Linked DNA regions of Lepisosteus oculatus. The protein of the gene in region 2 purifies or fractionates together with the protein of the main gene of each other region. This does not show direct contact. Links are inferred from orthologs where the notes say so. Each region holds a gene or a part of one and is shown on either strand. Other genes may lie near its edges.

What was found.
Region 1: the proteins of sbf1 (region 2) and mtmr1a purify together in Homo sapiens (affinity purification with mass spectrometry; 4 studies listed by BioGRID and IntAct, with this or other methods). This does not show direct contact. The link is inferred for Lepisosteus oculatus from reciprocal best matches to the Homo sapiens genes SBF1 and MTMR1.

The regions. Positions count from the first base shown.
Region 1 is NC_090703.1:40,997,879-41,008,576, forward strand, and holds the start of mtmr1a (myotubularin-related protein 1), read left to right. Parts: upstream 1-6,479; coding exon 6,480-6,610; intron 6,611-8,638; coding exon 8,639-8,744; intron 8,745-10,261; coding exon 10,262-10,285; intron 10,286-10,698. Other genes in the region: tmem185 (transmembrane protein 185-like), read right to left, coding at 1-27, 2,243-2,419, 3,373-3,410. UniProt on the Homo sapiens protein: Lipid phosphatase that specifically dephosphorylates the D-3 position of phosphatidylinositol 3-phosphate, generating phosphatidylinositol. Could also dephosphorylate phosphatidylinositol 3,5-bisphosphate to produce phosphatidylinositol 5-phosphate.
Region 2 is NC_090702.1:12,869,670-12,880,030, reverse strand, and holds the start of sbf1 (myotubularin-related protein 5), read right to left. Parts: upstream 3,944-10,361; 5' UTR 3,737-3,943; coding exon 3,682-3,736; intron 1-3,681. UniProt on the Homo sapiens protein: Acts as an adapter for the phosphatase MTMR2 to regulate MTMR2 catalytic activity and subcellular location. Promotes the exchange of GDP to GTP, converting inactive GDP-bound Rab proteins into their active GTP-bound form.

The sequences.
Region 1 (10,698 bases), on a different chromosome or scaffold from region 2:
AACTCCACGCAGGTCTCCCCTTCAGCCCTGCCCGCCGGGAGAGAGAAAGGAAAGCGTCACAGGTGACATTCAGGTGAAACGGAGAGAAAGCAAAACCCCAAAAGGAGGCAGAATGAGGCTAATGAACTCCAGTGGGTGGCAGATTATGCTGTTCTTGGCCATCAAGCTCATTCTTACCAACCATTCTTCAAGATTATAAAGCTGATTATATGTAGCTAATCTTCATTTAAAATCAACCACTGTCAAGGTTTATGCCTGGACTCCTCTCTGGCTATGAAATCCTTTAGATATCAGAAATGCCAGCAGTCTTTTTTTTTTTAAATCCAAGAGACATTCACAGCTCAGCTGTGAGGATATGACGTGGTGCCATTTGTTTGTGAAATAGCTCCTTGAAAAGCATCAGCATTAAAACCCACTATAAAATCTGAGCAAAAGCTTTGCAAGAAGTCCAACTCCCAGACAAGTAAACGCAAAGCCCGGATTCCAAATGAGATCTCTGGACTTCTGAGGTTTTGCAGACAAAATCATGTTACTCAACCTGCTGATGCTGATCATTGCGAGCATGCGTGATGAACGCCCCTTGTGACTCATCATGGCCTCAGCTACCACAGCTGAAGTTATGTCTTGGCAACCAAAAGATTGGAGTGCAACAAAACAGATGATCAGAAGCACTGTCCACGGCAGAGAAATCCTGAGCTCAGCAACAACATGGATCCTAGGCCACATTCTCCACCTTCCTGTTAATAGGTCTTCATCGTATGTTGAAGCTGTACCGTACAGCTTCTACATAAGTAAATACAAATTGCATTTGGCTTTGAAAGTATACTTCTGTTCCCGAGTTCCTAAAACAGGATGTGGAAGGGTAGGACTGAGCAGTCAATACAAGTTCTGCATGAGTACCTTCAGGAATTTTCTACCGTCTTCAATTTTAATACAGAACTGATTCAGCAAACAAAGTGTCTACATTGTTTCCATAGTCAAGCCAAGTTGCCTACCAACTTGCCTACCAACTTGCCTGATGATTACTGTAATTTTCAGTACTTGAATTTCGTACCTCTAAACAAACATGTACTTATTAGAGAAAAAAAAAGCAAACTCTTACTGCTATTAAGTAAAGCCTAGTTAAGTAGCAACTACACTGTTTGTCAGACTTCCTTGTTTATGGTATTGATCTGCCTTTGCCATTTCTCAGAAACAGCTGACGTGCAAGGTCTGGTAATTTGCTGCATCCTACAACACAACCTGATATAACCATCTTCACAAGCCATGACAGGCACACTGGCAACATGAGGTCCAGTGCAGCCAACGAGCTGCAGTCACCTGACCTGTGAGATCACGAGCGCAAGGCTTCACCAGGGCCCAACTTCACTCATTGCAGAGGCTGTAGCTGATACTTTAATCACCTCTAGCCAGGAGCTATAGATCATTCCTGTTGTTCTTTTTCAGCATTCTGGAGGCTTGGTTTGATTACAAAATACATAAATCTAGGAATCACCCACAGCTAGGCAGAGCCTTAGTAATGTTACACACCCTAATCTGTGCTAGAACTCCAGCAGTAACATTCTGATAACATGATGCCCCCCTTCTCCTTGCATTATTTATATTTAGTGTTAGACAACTTGTGTTTATTCATTATTTAGGTGATGCTTTTATCCAAGGCACCTTACACCCTAAATCACTGAATAACAACCTTTTACAATCATTAGACAGAGAATTCAACATAAAACACTGTATGCAAAATTAGTGCATTTTCATTACATACAACTCCTTTAAGAACTGCAATGCTATATATTTGCATACTTTTCATTAACACGTCAAAAGGTACTTAAGATTAAGTGCTGATGGTTAAACTGTATGTAATTAAGCTATTAGGAATAACATGAACACTGCCACCAAAATAATCCACTTCCCTGGCATTTCTGCGCATATTAACACCACTGTTGTGTACAGATCAAATAATACTATTATAATAATATTTTCAAAAACCAGGAGGCCAACAGCACAGGCCTATATCTACATTAAACGGGTCTGGGCAACTCTGTTGAAAAAGACCACAAAAACACTTACCACATCTGAAAGAAACTGGAGGCAGAACAACAACATGCTTTCTTAAGACCCCAAAAGGGGCAAAAGCAGAAATGTCCCCTCACTTAATGTCAGTCTGGAAGGTTGATGGTACATTTGTTAACTAAGGCAGCTACAATTCCATTCGGAAAGGCAGAGCATGCAGCTGCTAGCTCACCTGTACTGTGGGTTTCGGGCCCACACTCCTGTGCCCACCGACGCACCAATGATGACCATGAGCTTCCAGAGCCATATGGGTGCAAAGACGGCCCAGTAGCTCCACTGGATGATTCCATCGAGCCGGAGGGAGAGCAACACGGAGAACAGCAGCAGGCAGGAGTAGATGAGGAATTTGCTGAAAAGCACAGGGATAGCTAATTCAGACTTTTGTGCCATGAACAACTGGCGACAAACCATCACAGCGCCATTTAACAACCGGCATATTCTTAACGTCACTGTTTTTCTGCCACCATTCTGAATTAAATAAGACTATGTGCAAAATTCAAACTGCTTGTGAAACTGGTGAAACGAGGACCACACTAGAAATCACGAGTTTTCGATTCTGTCTGTGGCTAATGAGAAATTAATCTGTGGTAGCGATAATTCTCGCTAAAAATATTGTTGAAAAAAACATTTTCATTCTCTTGTTTTAGCTTGCTACCTAGTACGAAATAAGTGTTATGCGGCGCCAAACGTGTTAAGCGACACAAAATCTGGTTACATCGGATAAGCAATTGCTTCTGCAAACTTCAAGACCCACTGTAATTTTTAGTAGGCGTTTGTGTTTCCGTGCGGACGGCTTCGAAACAGGAAGAGCACTTCCACAAGCTGCAACCACAATATCGAAAACAACACGATATTCTACCAATCTGTTTAGTAGCATTAACAATCGTCACTGAGGCCCATATACTCAAAAAAAAAATAACGGTTGCAAACAGAAAAGCAGATAAATTGCTGGATTTACTACAAAATAGTTGGCCTATGTGCTCCATGTTTTGATCTCCACTATTCCCGACTTTGAAGCCGCATTCTTCGGGTTGCAACATCAACTTTAGTCCGGGGCTTTCGGGCATGACTCCTCCGCTGAAGTACTTTATAATCTTTCAATGAAAACAAACTCTCGCTAGATAGCACAATCAACCCCGAAAAACAAAACCACATCATGAATTTACATTTACATGCTTAAAAATACAGGTTAAAACAAGTGAAAGCTGTTTTAGTCTAACACGAGGCCTGTTACCCCATCAGTAACTATAACGCCACATTTAGAGGTTTGCATGAACAAGAACAGCGTTCAATTCTCTTTACCTGGGATTAAAATCTTGGAAGAGTCCCCTCAGATTCATGGTGGAGACTTTCTTGCTCTAAATCATCGTTTTCTTGTGAGTCTCACTCAGAAGGCTTCCGCCCTGCTCTCTCAGTCCCCTCCCCGGCGCAGCAGAGAGAGAGGCGGGCAGGCAACAGCGACACCTGCGCGCCCTGCTGGAGAGGTGCGCTCCGCCCGTCTTCGAACACCCCAAAACACAGGTCGGCACTGTTTTCTGCAAAACGGGGGGACCCCATTTTGATCAACCGCTTCTGATAAAAGGGGGCAGTAGCTCCAGATTAAAGCAAATAAAGATGGCAACTGCAAAAAACTGCCGAATTAATTTATTAAAATGAGACCCGACCCGCCGACTCAAGGTTCTGTCTACACATTTGTTAATAAAGCCACTGGAGTGAGCGTTAAAAACAACCCCCTCCCAGACGATAATATTAACCGTAAAATAGTTGGGTAAAGTTCCCGTTACCCATCTTTTACAACTAGAATCCATTCAAGGGGCCCTTTATTCTACACTGAGCACCTAAACAAAATTATTAGTCTATGTACAGTTTTAAGAAACAAAAGTGTAAATATATGTATATTTCTAATATGACCATGGTACACTCAGATGCCTTTAAATGTTTCAGAAGGACCAGCCTGTTCCTAGTGGGCATTAACTGTAGATCATGAGGCGGTTTAATCTGTTGAAGGTTAATTAGAAAGATGTTAAGATGTCAGAGGTGTCCCTACCATCTGATATCCGAGATCAAATAAAAAATAAACAAACCCTGAAGCACTATCTGGCCCTAAACAGACTGTGACCACAGCCTGGTGACAGTCTCATATCTGTCTGGTCTGACACAAAGAAAGCACTTTGCTGAGGAAGGTCAGACACTTAGGTGTAATATACTTCCTGCCCGGAATGTGGCTCTGTCACAGCCTGAGTGTGCAGGGGCTGAGAGACCGAGAAACCGAGACACCGAGATGAACTGAATTGACATAATGGGTTGATGTTCAGTTCAGTTTTTCTGATTCACCGGTCTCGTTTGTTTCTGTTATTTTTCTCTTTGCGTATTACTTTTAAGATAAATCTAAATATATATATATATAATTTTAGCATTTGTATTACGGTTTTGTTATTGCTTTGGCAGCATTTTGACTACTTGGCATGACAACAAAACTCCTTTCAATTTGACTTCGGTACTGTGAGCCGCCGTAAGGTGGAGCTGTTTGATAACAGAGAGTTTAACATTGTGGAAAGCACAGTCTATACCTGCACTTTCATACTGGACGCTCGCAGAGACCCTTCATGCAAGAGCTACCTCTTCTACTTTGTAGTGGTTTTACTAGAGACACACTTGTAACAAGAGGCTTTTACAAGAACATGCAGCGTTATTTAAAACTCCAGTCAAACCCAAAGGAACACAGAGCTCTCGAAGACCATGTCCCAGTTGAACTAATAATTCAATTCAATTCAATTCAAGGTGCTTTATTAGCATGACCGATGGGTACAGTCAGTGTTGCCAAAGCAAATAAAAATAATAAAATTAACATAGAACAAAACAAAAAATAGAAGTAAAATAAAATCTACAGACATGTTACAGACATTTACAACAAAGACATATTATATAATATTGACATACTGTAGGCAGCTGGAGCATTATTGGGAGACGGACTCACTGTTCCTCAGGCTGTGACAGGAGATCACATACTGGGCTGCCAGATCAACTGAGTTCCCTCCTCCCTCTCCCAGTAGGATTGGGACCTGTTGTGGTTTTGGCAGGTGTGGGAACTCTGGGATTAGATTTCTGAATTTCGGGAAGAATGTTTCTCTAATCCCAGAGTATCTGTCACAGTGCAGTAGGAAGTGCACCTCTGTCTCTATTGAACTAATATCTCACACTGAAACGCATTTTGTGACTGTGAGGTTAATACCTTTAACCTTGTCGAAATCACCCTGGGGGGTTCAAGGGAACGTTTCCGCAGGTCTTTCCTCCCGGTGGTTGTCTGGGTGTATAACGCTGCCCTAGGCTAGGACTGTTAGCCCTTCATTTGCTTGTCTATGGACAGCATGTTGCTCCATTATACTTTTTGGACAATCAATCTGTATAAACCTATGCACATTTTGCACATATTCTATTGTTTTTACAGTGACTATGATCATCATATTTTGCACACACCTATGTATTTATTTTGTATAATGTTTCGTCTATTCTTATCTTATTGCTTGTCATGGGCTGGACTGCTGTAACACATAAATCTCCCTTCGGGGTCAATAAAGTCTAATCTATCTATGGATCGCATTCTGCTACAGGGAAGCAAAATATGACATGAAGTGTCAGTCAAAAATAAAAAATTAAACAGCTCCAAATACACCACCCCACTCCGGTATGATTATGAAACCTACAGTGACATGGTACTGTACTCATTTGATGGCAAGATACCAGTCTTTCTTTTACGTGTAATGTGTTCTCATAGGAAGTGTGTTACAGAACTTGCCGATACAGAATCATGCTATCGTTAAGGGTTTGATTTGATGGTAGTAACGGATTCTTGCAAATCACATGAAAAAGGAATTACATGCTTTCATTTTAAGAACCTCTTCAAATATATTTTCAGTTCTGACACACTCCACAGGGGTCCACGCTATTCCCATATTGTTTACATAGGAATACACCTGATTACTATTCACGCTGTACAACCTCACCAAGTTGCTTTGGGGATTACACCCGCACTCTCGACCATCTGAGAACAGGATAATTCTTTTCAGCTCCCACCCACCTTTCTCTGCCTCGGCGGAAGAGCGCTTTCTTTTTCAAGCCAGTCTGGAAGAGAGGAGGACCTGCTGCCCGGCGCCCCTGTCCGGGCGGAGAGGGGCGGCTGTGGCCCTGCGAGCCAGGGACGAGCGCGCAGTTGCATCCTGGGTAATCGCAGTGACATGAGGGTATGGCTGCTTCCTGGATTCGGCGCTAGCGGTTCGCTGTCACTGGAACAAAAACACAGGAAATCTTTGCGTAGCTTGCCCGGAAAAAAAAGACGCCCATATCCGTCCATTGCACTAGGAAAGCGTAGCCTGCATTAGGAAAATAGGAAGGAAGGAAACTGGCAAAGGATGGAAAAGGTTCCAGGCGGAGGCAGTTACGGAGCGGAGAGCCCTGCTCCCCCGGCACTGCCCTCTAGGAAGCCTGCGCGTCCGCTCGTGGGACCCGGTCCCAGGCAGCCCAGCGAGGAGACTCTGGACAGGTAAATACACAACACTCGGCAGCGCTTTGCTTTCTCCTATAAGGGCAGCAAGACGGCCGTTGAGCTTAAAAATTAAGAATTGGATACACAATGGCTTGGAGACCGTGTCTGTTCGGTGCACGGCTGCAGGGTGAGAAATATTTTCTCCGTCTCCTATACCGGGTGTGTCGGGCTCGTCGACTCTGTCTTTTGCAATCAAGGATCGACAGTAAGTGATGCCTTACTGCTCTAGTTGATAATCTGGAACAAGGGAAAGTACGAGTGTCTGCTGTCAGCAGTCCAGCCACTGATAATAGAATATACGGGACTAAAGCTCGATTCATGCCAAGGCTGTATTTCCTAATGAAGCCATCCCAAATCATCATTTTTTTTTATTAATTATGTCAATGCGTCGATGTTTTGTGGAAACGTGACAAGCACGTAAGGATTTTTGGATCTAAGATCTAGGAGTTAAGGATCACCCTTTCACAGTGATTTGACTTTTGTGAAGTACTTGATAAGTTCCTGTAATGTTCAAAACCCATGTACTGTATTTCAACTGGGGCTGTAAATAGTTTCTCCTGAATTCATGTTCATATGCAAAAAAGTTTTGATACATTTAGACAACTGACAAAAGTGGGTGAAAGTGTTAACAGAGAATGTGCTTTGCTGCCTACAGTATGTGTTGAGATCTCAATAGGAGACCTCTGAAACATAAAACTGATTGTTGCTGTAAGTGGTGTTGGTAGACCAGTAGGAGGTGCTGTTCTCTATGTTGTGGAATTTACCATCCAGTGTCCCAGTATGGTGACAGGAGACACTACTTAAGGAAGTGCTATGCTTTAAATGAGACATCGAACTGACAACTTCACTATTTGTTCCTTAGTCTTCGCCTCATTCAATCTGGCATTGGAGTGGGTCCCCTCTTATACGTAAAACTCTTTGGGGTCCTTCAGGATGTTTGTTCTGAAGCTAGTATTTCTTAGAGGGTTAATATTTGCAGCCAATTCTTAGTACTGTAAGTAGAAATCCTTGCTCCATAACATCTGCCCTTTTGATTATTTTTAGTAAAGATCATGTTACATTTACAAGGTAGTGATATTTCTGTGTGGACTTGTGGATAGCAACACTCTAACAACAGATAACACTCTAAATATCAATCTGACTTGTTTGAGTAGCACTTTGGTTCAGATAATTTGTGTTAGGAAGTTGTGAAATGAAGGCTCTTGTATGCATTTAGGTCCATAGCAGTGCCAGACTGCAAAGTACTGAATATTGAATAGGAGTTAAATGCTTAAAAGAATACAGTACTGACAGTCATTGAATGTTGCAATACCAGTGTAGGAATCTCTCAACTTCAAATACAACTACACTAAAGTTAAAGAATTGTCATAAGTGGTGTGTTTTGAGGCCGAATGAATAAAATCAACAGAGAAGGAAAAGGCACCTTTGCTTGTTTAAGATGGATGAATAGATGGAATAATTCAGTCTAGGATAGACTAAATACCTGTCACAGTCCTTGCAGTCCTGTTTATGCCGAGAGGATACGTCACAAAAAGTACTGGGAAGGGGAGAGAGTTGGCTTGTGATTTCTTCACAGCAGCTACCTGTGGGGCCTGCTAGGTGCCTGCAGGCCAGTGTGGGGGTCAGTAGGCGTCCATTCACTGCCTGGAACCTCTGTTCTGCTCTGTCTGCTTGGGAAAACCACATGATTGCATCAGGGCCTGGCTGCAGCTGAGAGTCAGCCGGGATGAAAGTCGGTGGTTTGAAGTTGGCCCTTTCACTCTGGCCGAAGATTGTTTGCAGGTCAGAGGCCAGGAAAATCAAGACCTCCAGACATCCGTGTGTGCCATTTTCTTACACAATTAGATAATAGGACTGAAACATCTGCAGCTGGCAGCTAGAAACCAACATGAATGATTCTGTTTTAATGGGAGTCTTGTAAGCTCCTGGCTCTTAGTAAGCTGGAAATGTTTACTATATAATATCTCACCTTATAATCTCTCCCATGACACTTACTGTGATAATAAAAACCATCTCTCATTGCAGCCCCACAGGATCCCATGTGGAATGGTGTAAACAGCTGATCGCTGCCACAATCTCCAGTCAGATCTCTGGTGTCGTGCCCTCTGACCCCGTCTCCCGGGATTACAAGGTATGAGCTGCCCATCAGACCAGTGCACTGGAGTGTGTGACAGCCAGATTCTTAATGTAATTGATGGGGCTGATTGGATCTTGCATAGTTCATTTGATAGATTTGATAGAAACTCAGTGTGTTTAATGTTTGTCCCTCATACACTGTCACTCCTTGAATTATGTGAAGTTGAGTATTATATGATTCACGTGCTTAATAAAGTAAAATGTGCTTCCCGATTACATGTTACATGTTGTTAATCTCATTATTGTTGTTGATCTGGAAATTTCAGAATTGAATTTGGATAATTACGGATTTGTAGATTCATAAGACCTGTTTCCTTTAACCCTAAATGACTCCTTCTGGAATCTTGAAAGTTAACGGTTTTATTCTGTTCATTCATTCTTTTATTCTTTATTTCCTTTACCCTTTCTTCCTCCAGAGTGGATGCAAGGCATGTCTTACCTTTACCAACAGCTTTGCATGACAGTTTTCTTTTCCATTTTTTATCATTCATTGCTGATGATATCCTAAGATATAAAAATAAAGGAGGTGTGATGGCACAGTAGATACCACTGCAGCCTATGAGCTGCTGGGTTCTGTGTTCGGTTCCAGCCGGGGCTGCCTTCTGTGGGGAGTTTGCATGTTCCACCTGTGTCCCACATGGGTAATCAGTGTCTGTATATTATGTCTTGGTGGGAGTGCGCCCAGTGATGCACTGCAGTTCCATTCAGAGTGTAGCTCTGCCTTCCAGGATGGGCTGACTTTCTGAAATGATTTGTGATGGTGGATAGATGGCTGGAGTAGCAAAGCACTAAAATAAGAAAACAAGCTTTTGTTTTGTGTTTGCAGAGCAAATACAGATGCAAAACAGTGGTTCTCTGGCGTTTAGACTTAATGATGAACATAACCGTGAGAAAAATACTACTGTATTTAAAAAAATAAAATTGTATTTTTTAGGAAAATAAAAAAACGGTGAAGATGTGTTGGGGTTCAAAGTTTTTCCTCTTTAATCATTAATTTCACATGTGTTTTGGGCATTAAGTAATGAGAAACGCTCAGGTGATGTTTTGAGAGAACTATCTGGTTGACATTTAGTTACTTTGGACTTAACCAGTTTAACTTGCCTCATGCTGAAGAACACTGGGTAATAGATTTAGTACTTTGGGGTTTTAATGGGTAGTAGATTTAGGTTTTTCACTGGACTGATGATGGCTGTATAAAAATCTAAAGAAAATGCAAATGAGCAAGATGATTTGGTGCCCATTTCTTTGGTGTAATTGCTCTTGATCCTCAAAGAACCTGAAAAAATCTGCAACTATAGTATTAATAGCAGACATAATGAGACATATTAAGACGTTTGGGTTTTTTTGCCGAATCAGAAGTGTTGCCTTCAGTGCCCTCTCTAAGCTGTAGCATTGGAAAAAGAGGCTAGGGATGACAGCCTTGCTTGGGATTTAAGATCTCCTCGACTGCTTTGTTCTGGGCTCTGCAGTCTTATCAGGAAGGTTCATAACTGCTGTGTTTCTGACTAACAGGTTGGAAGGATGCCGGACTTGCGGGTAAGACTGACGCAGTGTGTGCAGAGCCTTCCTGTCTCATGCTAGTGCTAAATGAAAGATGCGGTGTCTGTGTGTCTTCTCTTTTCCTGTCGCAGAGCAGCTGTGTGACAGAATGAAACTCATGTACCTCATCTGCAGACAGAGAAATGTAGGCTTGCGGGCTTGTGCTTCCTTGTCACCGTACGTCAGCACTGCGACACCTTAAAGGGCAGTGAAATTTAGCCAGTACACTTCCAAGAACGGTGGCAATCTGGGTGGCAGTGTTCATGGCTGCCACTGGTCACACTTCTTGTGAATTGTTCTCCTACTGCAAGTAGGGGTGATTCTAAATTCATCAGGGCATATCTCTCTGCTTACTGTTGCTCTGATTCTGCGCACTTTTGAAACATGTATGCAGTGCCTGGCAAATTCGG
Region 2 (10,361 bases):
ATCTCTGTTAATGATCAGCTCTGATCACTTTCCGAGGAAAAACAACAACTTCCTTTTCTGTGACAAATAGTATTCACCCCTGACAATTACGGAGTTTGACATGTTGGGCCATATTTTCTAAACAACAACACCGGAAACTGCTCAAGCCCAGTACTGCATTTATGAGAACAGCATTCTTGTTATGAATAATAAATAGATCTTCTACCGCTTTCAGCCAAATATCCACTAAAAGAAGAGTCTGCTTGGTAGGGACGTGTGGATACTTAAGCTACAAATGAACAGCACGAACATAATTCAGTGCTTGGAAACGACAACATTGTTGTTCCACAGCCTATAAACAAAAACTTGATTCTCAGTGTATCTGCAATTCCCTTGAGTGACTGACTTTGCAGTCTCCATTTCCTGTTTAAAGCAAAACCTCTAAAGAAACCTACAAGTATCTGTTTTTGGTGACTTCATTCATAATCAAGCAAAATGCACTGCATACTTTCTTTTGAAATTTAAGGCTGCCACACCCAAATGTAAATTATTGCAGACAGTGTCACGAAGAGCTTTGATCTTAGCGTCAGTGATCGTTCAGCTCCACATTTACCTTTTCAAGACGACTGCATCTGCGCACAGCTAAATACACTTCAAGCTTTGAGATGTGAAGGTTAAGATCAATGAAGCTAAAAATGAAATGTTTTCAGGAGTGAAGGGGAAAATAGGTTAGCCTCAAAGAGCAGGTCCCCCACAAAGACCCCCAAACTGATTTTATTACATTACTGAATACTTTCTCTTCCAAAAAATATGCCTGCTACACTTCCACTAACCTGGGCCCTTTGATTCATCTGTGTGATCAATACTTAAGGCTAACTAAATCACCAAAATATCTGACTGTATTCAGTTTCTTGCTTTAGATAAGGCAACACTTAACTCCCATCATGTCAGGAGATGTTAGTCCACTCATGATTTGATGAACACACTGCTCCACAATGTTTCATAGCATCCATCGGTAAAGGACCATCTATTCAGTGATTCATGAGATGCTCTGCTTACACAGAACTAGTATTTTGCACATGAATTTGATAGTGTATAGGCGCAAGACAAAAATGGGTTTGCATCTAGCCCTACATCGGGGGAAATTACTGCAATCTCTAAATAAGTTCAAAGTCAGAGAAGGAATTTCAATCAATTTTTACTGAACTTGCCTTTGGCAAGCAAAAAGCACGGTGTCCCTAACTAGAGAAATTCCAAGTGCTTGTTCATTAATCATCAAAGGAAACGACAGATGTCGCAAAATAGCTGTAGCTCCTCGAACAGGAAGTTTCCACCACATCTGAACTACAATATCACCAAACCTGACTTTTCAGGCTGGGTCTTCTGCAGCCTTCACTCTGAACAGCACCACAAGTGGCTCATTTCCCACTACATAAGGCTAGGTAGGACTTCAGAAATAGTTGAAAACAGAAGTTCCCAGCCCTGGTCCTGGGCCCCACACAGCTGCTGATGTTTTGTTCCTGTTGGGCTCTCAGTTACATTACCGAGACCTTAATGAGCCTTATAAAAGAATATGCGATCTTAATAGTTTCACATTCCAAAACCTTGTTGAACGTTGCCTTTACAATCGTTGCGTGTCATACAGAACCTCCGATCTCCCCCTTCCTGAGTACAGACAGAAACTTGCAAGGTCTCAAATCACGCAACATTGAGTTCAATTAAGATTGTGTTTAAAAAACAAACAAAGCGGAAATGAGGAAGAGCCGAGCTGTGGATCTGTGAGACCAAGGATGAGAATCCCCGATTGAAAAAAAGTTTTAAAAAAGCTGCAAGGTGTATCATCTAGTACAGAGGCATCCAGTCCTGCTCCAGACTGGAGGAAACTCTGGGCCTTTTCAAAACCTGGAGACCTGGGAGCTGTAATACAGGTCCAATTGAGCTGATATCAAGGTGACTTACATTAGTGTGAACAATTGTAACTATTTACATTGACAGACACTATGTTAACATTCATTGACTCTTCCCTTTCGGAGCCAAAGTGAGGTTTAGCATCTTTCTTGACTTGGAGTTAACCCACATTCAACAGCTACGTTTCAGTGTCGAGAGTCCTACCTTTAGTTTATGCCAGGTTTTCCATCAATTAAAACAAAAGCTTTTTTATGTTTAAAAAAAAAAACATCTGGCTGGCTTGGAAACAACACAACGGCCTTTGTTGTTGTTGTTGTTGTTTTTTTTAATTCCAACCTGTTTCTTGTTTGTCTGGTACCCAGATGTTCTGCCATCTCTGTTCTGTACAGTGGAAAGGAAAATAATCCACACAAAAAATTTTGGATTCACTCTTTAGGATGCAAAGACTCCTCTGGTCCCTACTCCAGATTTGGGTGCAGGCCGAGTCCAATATCCCACCCTTTATCTACAGTAGGTGTTGGAGCAATGACTACGGCTCTGGCCTCTGGAAGGTTGTGGGTTTGAATCTTGGGAGGTACAGTGCTCAAGGTGCTTCACTTAGATTGAAACACCCTCCTGTACGAACAGATACATACACTTGTCACTTTGGATAAATGTGTCTGTTACATAAATTAGTCATAACACTGCTCTCTTTAGGATACTTAAAAATACATTGAATAACTGGAAACGGTAAGAATGCATTTGGTAGACCTGCACTTCTACAATATCGAATTTTAGTGAAGAACATAAGTGATATTCTGCGATTTCTGTTTTAGTTTAGATGTAAAACATAGTGCAAACCCATTCTAAAAACAAACAGCCCAAGGCTGTCTCAGGGTGCTTGCATTCAATCGCCGTATAAATAAAAAATTTTCATGTGTGTATCTTCAAGGCACACCCTACTTTATGCATCTAGGCCACAAATGATGAGAGCAATATTAAATGACAGCAGGCCTACAGCGGCTATGCACAACACACTGCAGATGCGAATTTTAACTTTCCATAGAGGACTTGATTTATTCTCTCTCCCTCCCCAGCAAAGAATACGGATGCAGAATTCACCCCGAGTTAAACGTGTTTCTTCTTAAAAAAATACTAATGAGATCTTGATCAATATCAAGTTCTTCACGATGTGACTTTCAAAAAAGTAAAGGGTCGCAATGGACATACTGTGTCAAACACCTTTCTACCACTAAAATATAGTTGGCTGTTCAGTTGTCAATTTACGCCAGACAATAAAACATCAACCTGTTTCCTGTCGGATAGAGGTTAACAGCTCATTTACCATGCTACTGAAACAAATAAAGTCACGTTGCCCTTATTTTGTTTCCATCCCTTACGCACTTTCGGTATTCAGTTTAGGACTAAGTAACACGCAGACACACGAGTCCACCCTTTCCAGATCTGCAGCACAGCGCTCTTTTAAAACGCTATATTTCAACCACATGACAACTACAGGGCCGTAAGCACCTTATCCCCGGCACAGTGTTACAGTTCCTTCGCTTTCGTCTTTGTTTCTTTTTGTACTTTCCAGATTTGACACAGACAGCTCTAATTTCGGGCCCTCCGCTCAGGCCTCTGGCATCCGCGGCTGTTAGTGGCGGCGCTTGCCTGCCCTGGGATGTCTGAAGTAGGGTGCACAGTGTTGTCCCGTCCCGGCCCCGGCCCATCCCCGCCTCCCCTTCCCTGCGCTCCCCGCCTCCTGTTTACTATATTGAGGCTGCAGCCCGGTTCCAAAAACACTCAGGGACTCACCCCTCTTATCGAGGTCGTACCCGACCACAACGAAGTAGTCGGCTAGCCTGGCCATGTCGGCGCTCTACGAGATCACGACGTCCGGCCCTTGCTTGTTCTCTTGTCGTTTTCCGTGACTCTCTTGTTCATACTCTGACAGCAGGAGCGACATCATCAGCAACTGCAGCAGCATCCTTCCAGCAGCGCCCCGCCGCCATACTGACACTGTTCTCGCCCTGACCGGGAGAACGCAGTGAGCCTGCGCGGCGAGGACCAGGGAGGGGCGCCTGGTCAAAACTGACAGATCAACACCCCAACCTTTGACTGCTTCCACGCACAGATCCCACAGATAAGCTCGCCGTTGGCTAATAACGCCAGTAGTCATAACAGATCATCCACACGAAGCTAGCACAGGAGGTTCCCTAATTATTGCACAGGAAGAGGTACACCTTATATAGAGCGTATTTCGTTATGTCAAAGTGACATTAACAGGTTCGTACCTTACCTATTTCTCATGGGAACATGTCATTTACAAACATAGGTGCGGTCTCTATAGTCATTGTTCTCCGATTCTTAATATTTCTTTGTACCGAGTTAAACCAGCTAATAGTCATACTGTGTAAGACTTTATGCTTTTATTGCAAGACAATATTAAGATAAGCAATTCAGTTAAAACAACCTCTTCCGAATTGAAACCAGTATATAAAACTATCCCAGTGTATTTTTTTTATTTTGTTATCTTGTTTGACATAAGCTGTATGACCCCAATTTTCCCTTTGTGTAGATTTCCCTCCTGATCAATATGTTAAGGAATGGGAAATTTGCCCACAGGGAAGATAAGACCATATGTACAGTATATTAAAAACCTCCCCAGGCTCACAGACTCTGAAATTGGTCCTTTGACTAGAATCCTTCGGTGCAGCATAGATTGATCACAGTGTTCTGGAATTGTAAAAACATCTCAACAAGAGTGCATTTCAGATTTGGTTAAAGTCCAGAATAAATCTTAAACAGAGCATAAATGAGCTGTTGACCCATAATTACCAAGTACTTTCTTTGCACACACTTAATTGGATTTGCTATAGATTTGCAAAATGAATAAATCTATGTTTTCCAGGTTAATTTGATTAATATAATGAACATTTTGTAGTTTACATCTGGTGCTATGAGCTTTACAGTCATGATTTCAAACATGATCTTTTTTGTACTTCTGTAATAGTAACAAATCATTTGCATGGATTGGTGGAGATTAAGTTTAGCTCAGCATGTGGAAAAACAGAATGGATCAATCACACACAACAGAGAAGGGAGATTAGCTAGAATAGACCTAGCTGATAATAAATCTGAATCTAAATGTGATTCAAAAGTGCAAATGAGGGTAGCTGCACATGAGCATGAAGCTCTGCATTCTTTACACCTACCCAAGTTTACTCATCACGTTCAAATTAATAAATGTCACAAACATCACGTTCATAGCAGCAAGAGAAGTGGTATTTCCAGTAGTAATAACAATACAGCAAAATATCACCAACAACAGCTAACACCTCTATGGAAACAATCAATATGCAAACATTTACTGAAGGATGATGTGTTTGGAAATCGACACAAACAAAACTTATGAATACGATGGAGCACTCAAAAAGGCTTGCAGCTTATTAAGGCAATTGTCTAAACCTTCTCAATGTAATTACAATTACACTCAAAGCACTTAGCTTATTTGTGCTTCAAACCAGCCCTGACAAACATTTCTGACTGCTCCTTTAACCCTTCACCTGAATTGGATTTCAAGAAAAGATTGTTAGGAAGGAAGAAAGATTATTCTTTCTTTGTCGAGAAGATCATACTACTTTTTAAACAGAGAACAGCTCTGCAGTCTCAGTCTAAGTATGTAACTTGCAAACCTTTCTTAACACCATACCTAAGGCACCTTGCAAAAGTATTTAGACCCTTGCAAAGCTGTCTCATTGTTTTGCTTTAAAAACTTGCAGTCATGATACTTACACAACTTGCTCCACATATTCAAAGCAAAACACAGAAAGTAATACAAAATAAGAAATATTACAGAAAAAAAATGAAATGTCATGATTGCATAAGTATTCAAATTCTGTGCTTTGGCAGATCTTAATTAATTTACGTTCACAAGATTACCAAGGCATAAAGTTAGTTGGCTGTCCTCTGTCTGCATGCAAAAATAATTATTCACATGGTTCCAGAATAAATACAACTGTAAGGTCATTCAGTCTAGCAGCAAATCTTCAAGCAAACGTTCAACCATGAAGACCTAGAAGCATTCAAAACAACTAAGGGATAATGTTATATAAAGGCACAGATCAGTAGAAGGGTATGAAAAAATGTCAAAGACCATTAATAGTTTGTGTTTGAACATGGTGAAGTGGATCATCAAGAAGCAGAAATGACATAGGTACTGTCTAGAATAAAGGTTTGCCCATCAAGCTAAGCAGTTGAGCAAAAAGGAAACAGGGAGGGGGGTAATACTGCAAAGCCAACTGCAACTTCTAAAAAATAAGAGAGTTTAGAGAGTGAAATAGGAGAAAATGTTCATGGGTCAACAACATCCCATTCATACAAGGGGGCTTGTAAGGAATCAAAAGAAATCTCATATCCCACATACAGCAAAGCGCCTAAGTGGATATTGCAAACATATGGCAAAAGGTTTTGTGGTCAGACAAGACAAAATTGGAACATTTTGGTTTAAGTACAAAGTGTGATATCTGATGCAAGCTCAACATTGTACATTACTCAGTCAGCATCATCTCTACAGAAATTATTTTAATGATTAATGAGAACATAGAGTAAAGTACTTAGAGGAAAACATGCTTTAGACTTTAAAAAAAAATACTTTCTGACAATGTAATGATCCAAAGCAGGCCAAAGTTACAAAAATAGGAATTAAGAATAAGAAAATGAATGCCTTTGAGGGACTGACTGACAATAGGATTCAATGTCCTGACTTGAATCCTATTGAGAATCTGGGGAAAGACTTAAAAAATAGCTGTCTATAAGCAATCTCCAATTAAATTAGGAGAGCTGGAGCAAATCTGCCAAGAAAAATGGGCAAAAATTGGACCTACTGGGTGTGCTAAGTTGGTAGAAACTTACCCAAAACGTCTTGTAGCTGTATTTGTTTCCTAAGGTGCTTCCGTCAAATACAGTTCACAGGTCTTAAGCAATTGATATTTCATGTTTCAGAAACAAAAAAAATCAGTTTTTGTTTCTAATTATCTTACCATTATATGTCTTCAGTGTCAGCATTCAGGTAATAAATAAAATCTTAAGTTTTAAACATATATATGCTACATTTTGTAATTTCACAGCATAGGACACCATAGGAAGGTTATTATTCAGGAAAATTGTCAGCAGCAATTGTATTTACATCAGTCAGAAGGATAAGCAACAAACAAAAAACTTTCTAAAGAAGTCTGATTAACATAAATTAACAAAAAATAGTGTTCTTGTTCACAGTTGTTTTATATATTGAGAAAGGTGACAATACCATGTAAAACATGTTAAGAGGATAAAACAATTACTACAATATCTATAGACAGGACAATATGTTCAGAACCATACTTGTACCAGAACGGAAATCTGATAACATCACAGTTCTTACTACAAATACCACCGTTGTTAGTTACGTGACCTGCATTAAGGATTTTGCATTTAATTAATGATTTAAAACTTAAATGGTAACCTTTCCCTTTAAAGCGCTCTTTGTCAAACTGACGTTGCCAGTTTAACATGAAGCCACATCATCTATTGCATGGCCTGTTGCTCACACTAAACAAACCACGAGTGCACATTCAGTCTGTCCTGATAAAATGGAATTCAGAAAACTTGGCACTGTCAACACAATCCACAGAAGAAGTTTGCAGGCTCAGAGCCAATAAAAGATAAGGAGTAAGCCACAGTCCTCAGTTCATTTTGCTGCAGCAAGCAGTTTCACAATAAAACCTCAAGTTTTCAGCTGGCGAAAAGGAAAAAATCAAAGGCCTTGCTGTCAAATTGTTATCACCAAACTGGCGTATCAAGTACTGTGGCTTAAAGAACAATTTAAATAGCTGGTCTTTACTATTTTTGTACATTTTACATCCGGTGAAACAGCATATAACCGCAACATACACTTGTTCACATATCACTAGAAGTGACAGCAAAAAGAAAAAATCGTAATGATTTGAGACACACAATCACTACGCCATGTTCCAGGAAAGCATTCTCCAGAATGTGATGTGACCTAAAATACAAATGTACTCCACTCTCAGAATTTATAATTATTTGTAATTTCTTATAAAAAATTATATGGTTGTAAGAGGATCTGAGTAACAGTTAGTAGAAGAGCATGAGAGATCACTTTATTAGCCATATACAATTTCTTGCATTAGGAATTTGTCTTTTCACATACCCCAGCTTGCTCACAGGCACAAACATAGGGAGAGAAGCTTGGGGCCAGAGCACAGGGTCAGCCATTTATACAGCACCCCTGGAGTAGCTGGGGTTAAGGGCCTTACTCAGGGGCTAAACAGAGCAGAATTCCTCTGTGGGTTGCAGGATTCGAACCAGCTACCTTCCAGCCACAGGCACAGATCCTTAGCCACAGTGCCACCACTCTGCCTGCTTTTTTTTAAGAGCAAGAGCGTGAGGCTCTGCCCTGTGATTCTTTATCACATTATATCAAAACTGTGGCTGTTGTTTTTTTAAATGGTTATGATAGCTTTGGATGGTAATGAAAAAAGCTTTGCCATATTGCTAATGAACCTGCTTTCTGCCTGGTTGTAATCCTGAGCCCATTTAATAAAAACATTTTTTAACTTGTTTTGTTCTCCACCAGAACTGTCCAACTTGTTTTTTTCACATCTGTGTCAAATGAACTAGACAACTAGACTTGAAGACGTTGAAGCGGGTCATATGGCAGAAGGAGGCTGCAAAAGCTTGCTGTTGAAGGAAAGCTTCAAGAATATGGCACCCTGTGTTTAAAGAGTATGACAGGAATCAGCCCTGTACAGGCCAGAATTGGCTGGATGATATCATCGCCTTAAAGAGCTACCTGTTACCACATAAGAAAGTTTTTTTTTTCCCCATCTATTATCTTTTAATAAGGAAAGAAACAGCTAGGATGATAGACTTTCAGGGGATTAGGTAGCCCAGTCAGATACAGGCAACACCCCAAGTGAAATTTCTTAAGACACGCTACTCATGGGAGTACAAGAATAGCGCTCTATCTGGGTCTTGAACCTACAACCTTCCACTTATAAGCCCCCCAGTCCTAACAACTGCTCTCACCTGAACAACTCATGAGGACAGTGGATTAATCCCAGTAGACATTTGCAGAGAAACTGAAGATGCCCAAGGAGGCAGACGAGAGAGCAGACTAGAGACCCTAGTGTGGGATGGTGACAAGAACCCAGAGTGAGCTACAGCAGAGAGGCCCTGACTTCTGACAGTGGTCTTCATATCAAAAGGGGGAGCTATTCATGTGGACCTGTGGACTTCAAAAGGGTGGGTGGGTATTTGTGTTTGGTTTTCCACATCTGTGAACTCTGGCTTGAGCATGTTCAATAGATTAGTACTATCTAGGGAGGGTTGTATCCCTTGCTGTCGTGGAGGATTGAATGGCTGTTGTTTTTATGAGACCAGTTCTGTCATGTAGACCTCCTCAGGGGCTTAACATCTGCTGACTCTATACGCTGTCATGCTGCTGTCATGGTTTTGACATCACTGAGTCATTGAAGGCTGGGCCTCCAGATGCAGTTCAGTCTGAGATCTTGTAGGTTACTAAGTGTTGTTCTTGTGGCTTGTTAGGGTAGCTGTTAATGAGGGCACCAGTGAGAGACAATATGAGAGGAATCAGTGGTACAAAGATGACATGACAGGAATGTAAATATACTCCTAAACAGCCTTTCTCATGCAGCACTTGACAGATCGACAGATGGACAGAGTCAGTGATCCACCACACCCACCTTTCCTGCGTTCAGGACTGAGAAAAGCCCTGTTTTGTTCTTCCATGAAAAGAATGAAAATACAAGGTTTTGTGCTGTCCTGTTTAAAATGTTTAATTAAAAAGGGTACAATGTAAAACAATATACTATTAATAACACACAGGAGCAACAGTGTTCACATGAGTCAGATGTAGACTAATTAAGAAATAAATTCTTAATTTGTGTTTACTTGTGTACAGAAACAAATGGAAAGTTGGTAAATTATTTAACCATATTGCTGTATTAACAAGTGAATGCTTGCGTCATGGATTATTAGATGTTAGAACATAATTGCAAATGTCTCAGTTTTCTTCCCATTGCATTTGCAGCAGACTTATTTTTCGTTAAAGATTTAAAGACTTAAAGTACATTTGCCTGGAGTAAGTTGAACATACTTGTCATTATACTTATGTGAGCATTCACATAAGATAATGCCACCTAGAAGATAGACGCACCCCCTCAGCTCTCCTCTGAGTATTCGGTTGCCCGATTATTCCTTTCCTGAAGGAATCTGCAATTTTACTGAAGCAATCTGGGTGAACAGTACAATAATAGTGCTGTATCTGGGTCTTGAACCTACAACCTTCCACTCATACGCCCCCCAGTCCTTACAACTACTCTAACCTGAAGCACCTTTCCTTATTTGATTGCAATTATAGAAATACAAACACATTAATGTTCTTTTTCTACTTTACATTGTCATCAATATTT